2 linked regions of the Tamandua tetradactyla genome follow. Each later gene encodes a partner of the first gene's protein in a complex. Links are inferred from orthologs where the notes say so. Each region holds a gene or a part of one and is shown on either strand. Other genes may lie near its edges.

Evidence for each region. The genes of interacting proteins can lie anywhere in the genome.
Region 2: the proteins of LNX1 (region 1) and IGSF5 are in contact, whole or in part, in a crystal structure (PDB 3VQG), measured with the Mus musculus proteins. The link is inferred for Tamandua tetradactyla from reciprocal best matches to the Homo sapiens genes LNX1 and IGSF5. Residues at the interface, in NP_001153049.1 of Mus musculus: Gln396, Leu397, Gly398, Ile399, Lys400, Leu401, Val402, Phe413, Leu416, Pro446, Ala449, Ala450, Ile453; in NP_001171358.1 of Mus musculus: Val367, Thr368, Leu369, Val370.

The regions. Positions count from the first base shown.
Region 1 is NC_135345.1:53,898,017-53,904,979, reverse strand, and holds the start of LNX1 (E3 ubiquitin-protein ligase LNX), read left to right. Parts: upstream 1-3,923; 5' UTR 3,924-4,340; intron 4,341-6,963.
Region 2 is NC_135336.1:97,013,783-97,020,766, reverse strand, and holds the start of IGSF5 (immunoglobulin superfamily member 5), read right to left. Parts: upstream 3,046-6,984; 5' UTR 2,813-3,045; intron 128-2,812; 5' UTR 109-127; coding exon 51-108; intron 1-50. UniProt on the Homo sapiens protein: Provides, together with MAGI1, an adhesion machinery at tight junctions, which may regulate the permeability of kidney glomerulus and small intestinal epithelial cells. Mediates calcium-independent homophilic cell adhesion.

The DNA of each region.
Region 1 (6,963 bases):
GCTGGGTTTAGGAGATGGGGTATGTGTTGATGAGTAAACTCTGTTTTATATTAAGCAGCTAGGCAAATAAATAATAGACTTTAAAATTGTATAAAGTGCTATCAGGAAAAAGAGGAAGGTATCTCTAGGAAATGGACATTTGAGCTGAGACTTGAAAAAGGAGAACGTGTTAGGCAGGCAGACAGGGAAAGAGAACAGAGTGGTATTGTGCATGCATGTGTGTGGGCGGAGGTCAGTGGGGACCAGCTCAGGGATGGCAAAGCCATTCCTGAGCATTCAAGAAACAGGCAGCAAGCTCGTATGGCTGGAGGGTACTCAGTGAAGGAGAATGTAGCAGAAGCAATGTTGGAGAGGTGAGCAGGGACCAAATTGTGCCAAATCTAGTGATCCATGTTAGGGGTTTTGTATTTCATTGTGAATGCAATGGAAAGCCTTGAAGCTTTTTGACAGGCTAATGGCATATTCTGACTTTCCTTCTTAAAAGTCTAGTCTGGATGTGGTGTGAAGTCTAGATTTGGTAGAGGGACTGAGGTCAAGAAGTGAGGCAAGGAGGCCTTTTAGGAGACTAACTGCAGTAATCTGGATGAGAAAGGGTGGATGGGTAGACTGAAGTTAGCAGAAACAGAGGGCACTGGTTGAAGTTAATATAAATTTCGAAGGTATAATTCGTAGAGCATACTCGTGGAACACTTGGATGGATGAAAAGGTCATTTACTGGGAAACAGGAGGAAGAAGGGGAAAAGATTAAGAGTCGGATTTGGATGTGTGAAGTTTGAGATGGCTGTGAGACACCGAGAAAGTAGTTGAAAAGTAGAAGAGAGGTCTGGACCAGAGAGATATGAATGAGAGAGTTGCTGGCATAGAGATGGTTGTAGAAAGACAAAACAGAGTTGAGTCTGCAGATTACAGCATTTTCTTCAAGACACCAAAAGTTTTGCTGTAGCAAGTAAGCCAGATCACTTGCAAAAATGAAGCAGCTTTGAGCTCCTAGGGAAGGCAAGCAATTTTTATAAACATAAAAAGGAAGTCACCTTGACTCCTATTGATTGGATGGAGGTTTGTCCTCCATCCAATGTTACGTGGGTTTAACACAGATGGGCTTTATTTGGTATTGGGTCAAATATACTGAATTAGGGGCTTGATCTGAGTTGGCTACCTTGGTGGAGATTTCAAATTTCAAAAGCTTTCAGGAAGAAACTCAAGAGGGAATTCAAAGAGGAAGTTGTGCTTTTTGTTTTGTTTTGTTTTGTTTTGTTTTGGCTCTAAGAGGTTCCCGGGGCTTTCTCTATATGATTTTATCGTGGTACTTCAAGCTTTCCCTCATTGTCCAATCCATTTGTAAGGATAGGTGGGCAAACTATAAGTTGCATACTCATGATCAGGGAGAGGAAGGCAATCAGTCTGTAACAGTTCAGAGAAACAATTTTCTATCTCCTAATACGATAAATCCATTTTCATCCTGAGTATCTTGTAAAGGTGAAAAAGGGCCTGAGCGAAAGAAAGCTGGGTCAGATGATTTCTTTGTCCCAGTTAGAAGACTGAAATGGCTGCTCCATCATTTTACATTTCTTGGGTTTAATATCCTTCCTTCAAAATGCACCAAGAATGAGACAATTTTCTCTGCACGTAACTGGGCATATTACTTTTCTGGAACACTCTAAAAATAGGCCATTTGTCCTTCTATAGTGAAGGCATGCTTACTTTCCCATAGTTATTAGGGTTTAATTACATCTGGACATTTCTGCTGAGTTGGAATCTGTCACTCTCCTAGAATCTCCCACACCAAATGGAAATGACACTCTTAAGCCATAGAGTTTAAGCAGGCTCAGGTCTCCATGCTGTGGGCTGCCAGGCAGTGAGTAATTCTGGCTTTGGAAAGGGCACGTTTGTAAAGCTAAATTAATACGTCCTGTTTTCATCCGTGACTTCTTTCTGTTTCCAGTTTTAAACAATCAGCTGCCTTGGTTACATGACCATGCAAAAAAAATTTTTTTGAGGTGTGTGTGTTTATCATCAATCCCAGAATGGACCCTACTCTTGGAACTGAATCAATCAGTACTGATCCATATGCTCAGAGGAGAGGAAGGAGAAATAAAATCCATCTACCTTACCTTTCTGAATGGAAAATCCCAAAGCTTCCGGCAGTCCCCAAATCTGCTGTGAAGCAGATGAGGAACATGAAAGCTTCCATTACATCAGCTCCTTTCCAACATTTTGGTTTTTCATTTCAGATGATAAGGTTGAAAGGCCCATTTGACTGTTATAAATTGCCTCTCTTCATCAAAGAACTCCAAAACCAGAGTCTGTAAACATTTCTAGATGCTGCATTTAATTGTAAACTACTGGGAAAGAAAAATGAAATGATATCTAAGCTAAATGCCCAGACTCTTTCCAATCTTCCTCTTTATCGCTGCAGCTCTGGTGAAGTTGTCTTTAGTCTCCTTTAAGAAGAATGAAAAGCTGACCAACCTCAAGTTTGAAGTCTCATTTGACCCTAAGGCAAAATACTCCAAGCTCCCCCAAACCAAATCCAAGGGCAACAGGGGTGAGCAACTGTCATGATGTTGCAACTTGTATATTTGTGAAAACTGACAACTTGGTCCTCTCTGGGAGCCATCTCCATGCCTGCTAATTAATGGTTTTACTTTCCTTTGACTACCTGCCAGCTGTCTTGGGGTAACCACCATGGCACAAGAGAGTTAATTGCTAACAATTGGAAGTCAAGATGAAGGCAATAAAACCCGAGAAAGTCTAGTGTGACCTGAGGACTGAAAGCCACATGTGCTGATTTCTCACCAGCAGAAGTTTCTGGGCTGGGAACTTAGTTTCATCCCTTGCATGAATTGTTGATTAAAAGAAGCTTGTAACTGTCAGGCTCCTGAAGTCAAAAGAACAAACTAGTGATCGAGCCATGACCAAAACTCACACGGAGGCCAAAAGATTTATAGAGCACATCCTTGCTTGTAAATAAAAAAAAAGACAGTGGAGAATCAAAGACAGTCAGAAGCCAGCAGCACCAGGTTTGATCAGAGAAGGCAGTAGGTGCCTGGGTTATATGTGACCTACTTGATTGTTGAACATGAGATAGCACCAATTAACATATCTGGAGAGAGACCACTTTAACTGATGAATTAGAATTCTATTCCCAGAGCCAATCTTTCATTTAAGCCAGGTCTTTAGCCATCACTGAAACTATCAGCCCCCAGAAATATTTAAGCCTACCTGGTGGAAAAAGCAAGACTGAGAAAAACAGTTTCAGCAATGCAATTCTTAAATTTTGAACTAGCTGGGTCATTGTGTGGGAGTGTCTAAACCTCTCTGAGCCTCAATTTCTTCATCTACAAAATGAAAATTATAGGATTATAGTGAGAATTAGATGAAGTAATGCAGGTCAGGAAGTTAGCACAGGGCCTGGCACAGTAAAATGCTCAACAAATATCAGCACAGATACTACTGATGCTGCTGCTGTTTCTGAAGGTGATGGTGATGGTGATAACGAAGAATGAGCAGAATCCTATATCATTAGAGTTTAAAAATCATACATAATGTCAGCCATATTCTTGTTCATTCTTTTTCTGCAAACACTAACTGCTGTTCACCTATGAATGGTACTGCTTATGGAAAATCTTTGGAAGTTTTGGCATAATACTGGAAAAAAAATCATGATTGCTTGATTTGTCTAATGTAGGTAATTTAGCGTGTTTCTTTGTACATTTGAAAACAAAAAGATGCTCAGGATTCTGAGACCAGTCCAGGAGCTACTAAGCCCCTGTCTCTTTAGCAACTAGTCCCAAGCAGGAGGATGTCCCAGGCCTAATGATGACCTGAAGGTGCAGTGACGCTGTGTTTGTTTCCTTGTTGATTTCCCTTTCCTGGCTCCAAGCTCATTTTCCCAATGCCTGCAGGAAAACAACAACCAAGGGTGCGGTAGGCCTGACTTGGCAGCCCTAAAGGTGAACAAAAGGATCCCGATTTTTGGCGTGAGCAGAAGGAAGTTCCAAGGAGCCTCAGCCCCATTCAAAACAGGGCAGATATGTCACTAACGATAATGAGTGGCTGTTCAGAGGTGAGGGGTGGGGGATGGGTACGGCTCTCCCACACGGCTCCCCACTGGCTGCTCTCGGGGTTTATGGGTCTGCTCTGCTCAAAGCCTCACAGAAAGGGCAGGCGGTGCGCTGATTTACTCCTGAGTGTAGACAGGTGGATGGTCTGCATGTGCGTCTGGGAGACAAGACCCAGGAAAAAGAAAGAAAATGTTTCTGTGCAGAAAAGCTGAGTTTCCAAACGGACTGTCACCTGAGCCTTCACACAACTGGGGACTGATCCACAACGAAGCAAAGGTAAGATGCCTGCCTAGTTTCTCCACCTGCCAGGACCCCCCACAGTTTGGGAAAACTGCCCCTGACACCCTAGTCTCTGACATCTGCCTTTACCTGAGACAAACACACACATACAATCAAGTTCTTACAGAGGCAGAAGTATCTAGCTATGTCTTTTTCAAGACCTAGAAAGGCCCCAGGACATTTGCTTTTCTTACATCCATTTTTTTTTCTTTCCTCACTGCTCCTCATATAAACCTCTTTCTTCCTTTATTCTCAGCAATGAAAAACACTTGCCATGCAAGCCAGGGTAAACATCAGCAATTCTTTTCATGGTAATTGGATTTTAGGTAGCATTATACTTTATCCCTATTCACACAAATGTTTTGTTTCATTTCTGTGGTAGGAGCAGGTATTGTCTTTGCATTTTCACCCGTGGAGAAATTTAGCTCCAGGGAAATTGTGACTTTCCCAAGGGCACATAGGTAGGTGGTCACTGGCAGCAACTCCTGCCCCCATTCCTGCCTCTTTTCAGTAGAATATTGACTGTGTTTTCTAAACAAACACCAGGCGACATTCTCTGGAACATATTCTGACAAATAGTCTGATGAGAAAATGGATTTTAGAAATTGGGACGCTCCTGGAAAATCCTGAAATAGATAGTGACAGCATTCAGTGCAATATACCCCCTTGTTATTGATTCCTGTTTACTTCCATTCTTGGGAATTGAAGACAGTTCAACAAATGCTGATAGACTATGTCCCCTGGAACCAACTCTGGGTCACATGTCAGGATGTGGTGCCAGCTCTATGCCCAGGGAGCCAGAGGCAGAGGTTGTGTGTGAGAATAGTCTCCTGGGGAGGTGAGCTTCACACATGGGCTTTGCATACGGTGAAAGCTTGCTCTGTGGGGAGAGCATTTCAGATCAGCAGAGTTCCTGAAATATATCTCAACCAGAAAACATTTACAGCAAGACGGTGGCAGTAGGGCAGAGGGGTGAAGCCTGGCCTGGGGGATTACATTGTCTGGCCTTGAATCCTGGTTCCATCTCCTACTAGTACTGCATTCTGGGGTAACTTAATTCATCCCTCTGGCCCCAGTTTACTGACATGTAAAATGAGAATAATGGGAATGCCTACCTTATAGAATTGTATTAAGGTTTAAATGAGATAATGCTATGAAGGTTTGCTGGCACATAATAAGTGCTCAGTAAATGCTCTTCAGGAAATGATTACCATCTGCCTGGGAATACAGATAGGGGGTTCCTGTCCTCGATTTCATCAAACTTTTGTGAGTTAGCTATACACAATTAACTGTGTGCTCTGTGACAAATGCTCTGGAATCTCGGAGTCAGGATCTGCTCAGTGTGTGGGAGTTGGATTCTGGGTGAAGTGGAAGAAGGCTACACAGCAGAGGGCCTGTGTGTAGAGAGGTGGCATAGAACTGTAAAAAGAGCTCTGCAGATTGGTTTTCTAATCCCAGCATGATCTCCTCCTAGATGCATAACATGACCAAGTTATTAAACGTCCCTGAGCCTCTATTTCCTCATCTATAAAATGGGGATGATACTTAACTTGAAGAACCATTGTGATGATTAGAAACAGAACACATAGAAGATGTATCCCAGGTTCCAAGCCTTACAAGGTGCCTAACTGGCAGTGGTTTTTCTTAATGATACTTTAGACCAAGTCTCAAATGAACATGGTCTCCCCTCACAATCCAGATTACAGGTGAACACCGAAGAACTGCCCCTCAGTTATTTATCTCACAGACTATTCTAAGAGGACAAAGGAGACCTCAAGTGTTTCCATGTCTTGGTTCTAGCAGATGAGCCCATTGTCAGATAAGTTAGATGGACTGTGTGATCATCTCTGCAGGTACAGCATCCTCTTTCTTTCCATTGTTCAGGAATCTGTCCACTCTTTACTAAATGAGAGAGATGAAGATTACCTACCTCTCTTGCCTTGGCAGAGCAGCCGCAGGCAGCAGATAAACCTGGATTCTGCCTTTAGGGCAACTGCCCCAAGCTTTCTCCACCCAAAGCAGCCTCTGAGTACCTGTGACCTGCCAAGTATGGGAAGCATTATACTTCCTGACTTAGCATATTCATTACAATGGATATAGATATAGACACATCAATGTAGATGTAAATATAACTATAGCTGTAGATCTATAGACCAGATGTTGCTATATAGATTTTTTTTTTTTTGGAAAATATCACAAGCTTATACAAAAGTTGCAAGTACAGTACAGTGAAAAGTATGGTAATAGAACTTTTGCACTATCTTTTTCCTGAACCATTTGAGAGTTAGCTATCAATGAGATGCCACATTATCCCCCAACACTTTGTGTGCATTTTCTATTAACAAGGACATTCTCCTCCATAACCACATTATACCCATCAAAATCAGGAAATTAACACTGATACATTATTACTATCCACTCACAGAACCCAGTACATTTTCATCAACTGTCATCTAGTCATCAGGCCAATTCAAGTTGTTTCTAATTGTCCCAACTATCCTGTATGGCCAAAGAGCACATTTCTGAGCCAAGTGTTGCATTTAGTTGTCATGTCCCTTTAGTCTGCTCTGGTATGGAACAATTTCTCCATACTATTCTCTCCTCCACTTTCATGACCTTG
Region 2 (6,984 bases), on another chromosome or scaffold:
CCGAGGCTGGATGTCCCCTGCTGCGCCCACCCATGGCACGTGGCTCTTACCTGCCAGCCAGACCAGGATGGCCAGTGGTCCAGGCACGCCTTCCCAGCTGCCTCCCATCTCAGCAGGTGTCCGTGCCCTGGGGAAGAGAGGGGGCAGGGGACAGTCCATCCGTGACCCGCGGGTGTCTCCTATTCACAGATGTCCTGGGCCCCCTCCAGGCTGTGGGGCCTTGGGGAGGGCAGATCAGGTCCCCCGTGCCATCAGCAGCACCCGCTCACCTGGGATGGCACCTTGTTCAAAAAGCAAATTCTCAAGCCCACCTGGATCTGCCACGTCAGAGACCCTGGGGGCAGGGCCAGCATCTGTGCCTCACCAAGCCCTGGGGGCGCTTCTGAGGCTCATTCAAACTGGTGTATCAGATAACCTTCCCTCCCTAACCCGAGGATAAACCATGGGATGCAGACAGTAAACCATTACCGGCAAATTACCGACCAGGACCTGAAGTGAGGGCTTACTTCCGCTCACTTTAATCAGAATGCTTCAACCATTATGGAAAAAAAATCCTGCCTCCAAGTGGTTTACTTTTTAAGAGGGGTAAGAGGTGATAAAACCAATGCCTAGGTTATACAGCCTATGGGAAGGTGGGAAAGGGATGAGAAATACAGAGCAGGAGGGAGCATGGGCCAGGGCACTGGGAAGGCTGGGCTGGCTGTCATTTCCAAGATGATAGCCAGAGGACACGCCATCCAGAAGGTGACCCACAGTGAGACGGACAATGAGGTGGAGGGACAGCCCTGCAGATATCTGCGGGGAGAGCTCTCCAGGCAGAGAGCAGGTGCAAAGGCCCTGGGGTGGGGCCGAGCGTGGCATGTGAGAAGCTGCAGAAAAGGCAATGTGGTTGCCCTTCCCACAGCCCCTGTGCTCTCTAGAACTCTCTTGCTCACTGGTCACCCTGCATTTATTCTTTGTATTTCACTAACAAATGAACCGCAGTGCACAGAAGGAGAGCAGAGGTGCACTGGCCAATGGCCCACATTTTACACTGAAGTTACTGGGTATTTATGGGTCACGAGAAGGAACCTGGGGTTTCCCATCCCTTTGTTTCCCTGGATCCTCTGAAAACAAAATTCAACATTTGTCCTAACAATATAATTACTAGTGTCCATAATTCAAGATGCAAAATATTTGTGCTGTAGGACCCCTGGGTAACGGCACCATACCCCTTGACATCCTCTAAAACAGGCTCAGCAGAGCTTCCATGGCCAGTGGTGCAGCGCTTGTACACAAACTGAAATGAAACCATAGCCGGCCTGTGATTTAGTCAAGATCCCATCTGTGAAGCATCAACTAAATCATTTACTGGTCTTTAAGTTTCGATTAACACGCCTCTGCAGATAAACCACTCTGGTGGTTGTTTAGAACAGAAACCTACAGCAGAGGAGGGGGTGGTGCTGCAGAGGTATAAAAGCTTACACATTATATTGAAAGCAATAAATGAGAAGCATGGACCAGGCATTATTGAAACTGTAGCAACAGATTAAGATCAGATAGGAAATACTTCTAGTCGCTGATCACCGAATTGAGTCATGCTGGGAGGTTATTAAGAGCTCCACTCTGCCAGTGTCCTCACACACAAGGCACAATTATTTTCTGTATGACAATGACTCTGTTGATAAAAAAATCCAGAAGCTTTAAAAATACAAACCCCAGGGCAATGCAGGAACCCACTGAGGGCCACGAGCGTCCAGCTGTGAGGTGGGAGCAGATGTGGGTTGGCGAGGCAATGATATTGGAGAGGTGTGGGCATGAGGGAAACTGTTATAAAGCTAAACTGAAACCAGACCTATTCCCCTTTAACGAAGTCAGGTGTAGGCCAGGCATTTGTAAGTTCATGTCTCTATCGGGTCATCTGACTGGAACGTGAGACTTAATTTCTCATTCATTTCATGTTGGAAGACTCGAATTGTCTAATTTCAGTTGAAAAGCTGAGACACCTTCTTAAGAAACCCTAATTACGTGTACCATGTGGGTGGACTCAACCCCAACCATTTCCTCACTGCACAGAAAGGCGGGGAACAAAGAACCCACCGAGCTGGCCATCCTGGGGAAAAGCACGCCTGAATCGGCGTCTGGCTTACTCACCACCCACCACCCCCACCCTCCAAAACCTTCTTTCTGGGTTGTCGGGAAGTTTGATCTTGTTCCCTCCACACCTCCCGTCTCAGGCAGCAGTGGGAAGCCTGGACGCAAACGGAGCAGACGACAAGCTGTGGCTCAAGGGCAGCTTGAGAATGAGCTGCCACGAAAACCAGGCCAGGGATGTGCTCAAAGCCACTCCACCAAAAGCAAGAGGCCCCTGCGTTTCTCCACCTCCCACCAGCTCCAGGTTCCGGGGTGCCCTGCGGTGGCCCGCGGGGACTGAGCCTGAGAACTGCCAGGACACAGGGCAGCGGGGGAGCATGGGCGGGCGCTTTCAGGGGGCAGCGGGGGTCCTGGGAGCTCCCCAGCATTTCAGGGCAGACCCCAAATCCCAGCAGGGCCTGGCCCCAGCGCCCCCTGAGCGGGGCTCCCTGTGTCCCTGGGCGGGCTGCCGGGGAACCTGTCTCAGGTTTCCGAGTCCTCACCACCACCCAGCCTTTTAATGTTTAACTCTGCAGAAACCGGGAGGCAGGTCCATGCTTTCCCTGGGCAGCCCGGTCAGTGGCTTTCCTGGGGCCGGAGCGGCCCTGGGCAAGGGGCCAGGAGTTGGGGAGACCCGGGTGTGTTGGGGGGGTGCCTAGGCACACCCCAGTTAGAAGAGGCCCGACGAGCTTGTTCTCACCTTGGGCAGGCAGATCTGTCCCGGGCTTCAGCAGACGCGCTCTGCTTCCTGAAGGCTCCCTTTTCACGCAGAGGCAGAAGCTGCGCGGCCCCTGGAGAATTCCATCCTCTCCACAGGGACCAGGAAGCTCCTCCTGGAGCGGCCCCGTCACTCACAGTCCGGGATAAACAAGGAGGTGGCCTTCCCCGGCCCCACACTGCAGGGCGGGCAGCACCCGAGGGGCAGGTTTCCTCGTTAATCATTAGCCGCCCCAAGCAGGAAGCCAAGTGCAGGCCCGAGGCCCAGCACCAGAGCCCCCCAGCCCCCCGGCCACCCCCAGGGCCCAGCCCACCCTTGTCGCAGGTCCCTCCCGAGGCCGGCCCTGCCCACTGGGTCCTCCCCCCCGGCCCAGCAGCTGGAAGGGTCAGGCCTCCTCCCGCCCCGTGCGGGTCTCGCCTGGGCCTGCGCCCTCCTCGCCTCCCGCAGGGACCCCAGGTGGGAAGGCCGGTCCTTCTGCCTCAGGCACCAGCACCCCTAGGATGGCAGCCCAGGTAGAGGAAGGCGTCCTCTGCCCCAAGGCCTGGGGAGCGGGACAGTCTCAGGGACAGGGTGGGCCCCGAGAGCAGCCGCCCAGGCCTGTGCTGGGGGGCGCTGTGCGTGGGCCCCCCTCCTCACCCCAGCTCGCAACGTGGCTTTCTAAGAGCACTGCGACCATGTCTGGAGAAGACCCCCTCCCTACACCCCGAGGGGGCCTGGGCGCAGCTCTCAGGCCCTTCTGGAACCCCTGGCCTGTCTCTGTGTCCCCGTCACACGTGACCTTCCCTGGGGACAGTGAGAAGGTGGGGACCCCCCACGCAGACAGAGGCTGAGAGCAATGGGTGGGGAATCAAGGCTGTTCCGCCAGTGTCAGGACACTGCCCCCCGTGTCCTCTCAGCCATTGGAGCAGACCACTGGGATGCCTTCAGTCCTACTGCACAGGTCACTGCGCACCCGAGGAGCTTCTCCTGACCCCAACACCCTCTCTTCCTGTCTCCTGATGGAACTTCCAGACCATAGGCCCCCGAAAACAAATAAAAGTAAGTGTGTGGATGAAGCTCCTTCCCTTTCGCAACTCAGAAACTTTTCTAGGCCCTCTTCTGCAGAAAATGGCCATAATTGAAAATTTGTGCTTTGACTGACGTCCTCACCAATTCTAAGTTACACACACTTTAACCTCCAAAGCTTTAGTGTTTACACGAAATGCCAGTTTTTACCAGCAATACTTTTTCTTTTCGGCCCAAAGTTCTCTTTCTGCACTGTGTTACTCTGACTACGTCTTACTTAAACCATTTTCATTCCCAAGTTTCCTTGCCTTTGCACCTTAGCAGTTAATTAGAAATTTAGCATGTTTTGAAAGTCACTCGAGGAACCTACTCAATGCAAAAAAAAAAAGTGCAATATGAAGTCCACCAGGAGAATGCACTGAAACAACCACATGTATTACTGACCTAGGCTTATTAGTGCTATTAATGTAAACATGATTCAACCAAGCATTTGCCCTGCTCAACGAAGTCGGTGGGCTTTAGTGGATATAATGGATGCTCACTATCCTTACTGACTTGCCCGCACCTTTTGTATCTCTCAGGGTAACTTATGTGTAAGGCAGGCCTGCTGCTCCAGAGCTCACCTGAACTCTTGGGGTGACATCGTCAAGTCAGCCTTGGACACCCTGACACCTCCAGGTCACCTGGCCGGGTCAGCCACGTCACTCACTAATTACATGTGATTGATACTCAGAGGACACTTACCGTCGCCGCAGTCTTCCAGGCAGAGGGAACACGGTGTCCCCCAGCCCCGGGACTGCCCGCAGGGTACTTCGGTCCTGCGGAGGAAGGACAGGCTGGGGGAGAGCCCCGCCCCACCCACGGGAGCCCCCGGGGGCCAGCCCCCAGCCCTCCATGCGCGCAGGCGCCTGCCAGGCCTGTGTAACTAGCCTGTGGGATGCGGCAGGACTATGTCACACATAGTTCTCATAAGTGATTACAGTAAAACCAGCCTAGGATCGTGGAGCCCGAACTTGCTCTAAGAGCTTCGCATTATCCCCCCAGCTCCATGAGGTTATGAGCTGCGTTTTACCCACAACGAAATGGAAAGAAGAATAGGTGAGACCCAGTTCCCTTCGGAAGAGCCCACGGAGGAGGCAGACGGTTTGCTCTTGAATGACGGTGTCTAATGCTCATTCATTCACTTAATACACATTTTTCAGGGCTGGGCCTTGTGCGAGGAGCTGGTGGGGAAAATGGTGGGCAAAACACTAGGGGGTCCTGCCTCTGGGGAGTCGTATGCTCCAATCGCAGCATCTTGTTCATGAGACTCATCTCTGAAGGCCGAGCCTAACTCTAAACTCAAATAATTCCAGAACCGTGGGTACAGGAACGCAATCCTAAGGCCAGTGTGGTGCATTTTTGCCCTGATTCTCCTCTTTTCCTTTCTCACGTCAGTTCTGATGTTTGGAGGCCTGGGGACGGGCTCTCCTCGGGCGACGACGGGTGGCTTCCCTCCAAGGTCGTCAGCCCAGTGTTCAGAGCTGCGCCGGCCCCAACCCCAGCACGGTATTGATGATACCGGGAGGGCTTCCAGAAAGCTTTTGAGTTATAATAGCACGAATGCCCTAACGCTGTGAGCATCACCAAAACCACTCACAGCAGCTCGGTAGCGAGTTTCCCCCAGCCAGGCTGGGTCCTGAGAGGTGCCTGTTCAGCACAGACGGACCACGGAGTGCTGAGCTCACAAAGTCCCCAGGAAGGCAGCTCCGGGGCTGGGCAACGCCTCAGGGTTTTTTAATTAATTTATTTTTTTGTAATTTGCATTTTTTCAAAGTTTGACTATAGAGACATTCCTAATATTCTTTACATACTCCAAAATCTCAAAATTCAAACTCACATAAAGCATATTCACATTGTAATTCAAATTGCGTTAAAGACTCTGAAGGAAACTTCCAGGAGGGTGGCAGCGAGGGCCACCTTGATGAATGTGGGAGCGAGGCCCAGGGCCTCTCTGAGGGACTGTGTTGAGCTCAGACGGGGGTAGGGACACCGTGCAGTGAGTGAAAACAGTCTCTAACGTGTGCTTTAGACACGTTCCAAGAGAAGATGCTCTATGAGAAGGAAGATGGCAGCTGCTGGAAAACTGAAGGCCTAGACCTAGAAATGGGCACAGTGCCACCAAGTGGGTTTTCTAGTGCTGAGTAACAAAGTACTGCAGACTTAGTGGCTTAAAACAGCCCCACGTGCAGTCTCTCAGTTCTTTGGAAGAGAGATCTGGACAAGTTCGGCTCAGTGCTCTGCTTAGGGTCTCTTAAGGCCAAAATTAAGGTGTCAGTCCCACTGGGTCCTTACCTGGAGCTTCGGGGAAAGCATCTGCTTCCCAGCTTATGCTGTTTTTAACCTAACTCATTACTTGTGGTTTGGGGACTGAGGTCCCGTTTCCTTGCTGGCTGCTGCTCTTGGCTCCGATAAGCCACCCCCTTCCCTGGCACCTGGCATGGCCCCCCCAGCTTCACACCCAGCAACAGGGCATCCCACCCTCTTCTGCCTCAAATTGATGACTTCCTCCTCTGCTCCCAGTTGGAGAAAATGCTCTGCCTTTACAGGGCACATGTGATTCAATTCAGCCCATTTGGAGAATCCTCTTTGCCCTATACTGTGACACCCCCAGACAAGAGCCAGCTCCCCACAGTCACGGGTCCCCCCCACCCCCAAAGGGGAGGGGGCTGCACAAGGACGTGGGCCTGGGGGCTCATCTTGGAGTCCTGCCTATGACAGTCACATCCATGCATCCTCTCAGCCAAGTAGGCGTGGGGTCCAGACTCCAGGAGAGGCCTTGGACACCCCACCTCTCAAAGGGAACCATGTCCAAGATTTGGGGTCATGTGTCAGAAGCACTGCATCCCCCAGTTGTTTGGGGTGTGAGAGCCGGACATGAAGGAGAGAAGGGGATGACCTGTGTTAACAAGCGGGTCTGAGACACGCAGGCCTCCAGCTCTGGACCTTGGGTCTCACGATTCTGCCGTCCTCCAAGTGACGAGAGACACTGCAAGGGCCACGTGCTTTCCTCAATGGGGAAAAAGAAGCAATTTCAGCTGCTGGGTGAGAGACCTTCAAAGTGTGCAAACTCTTTTAAAAGCATTCACCAGCTTTGGGGGCCTGCTATT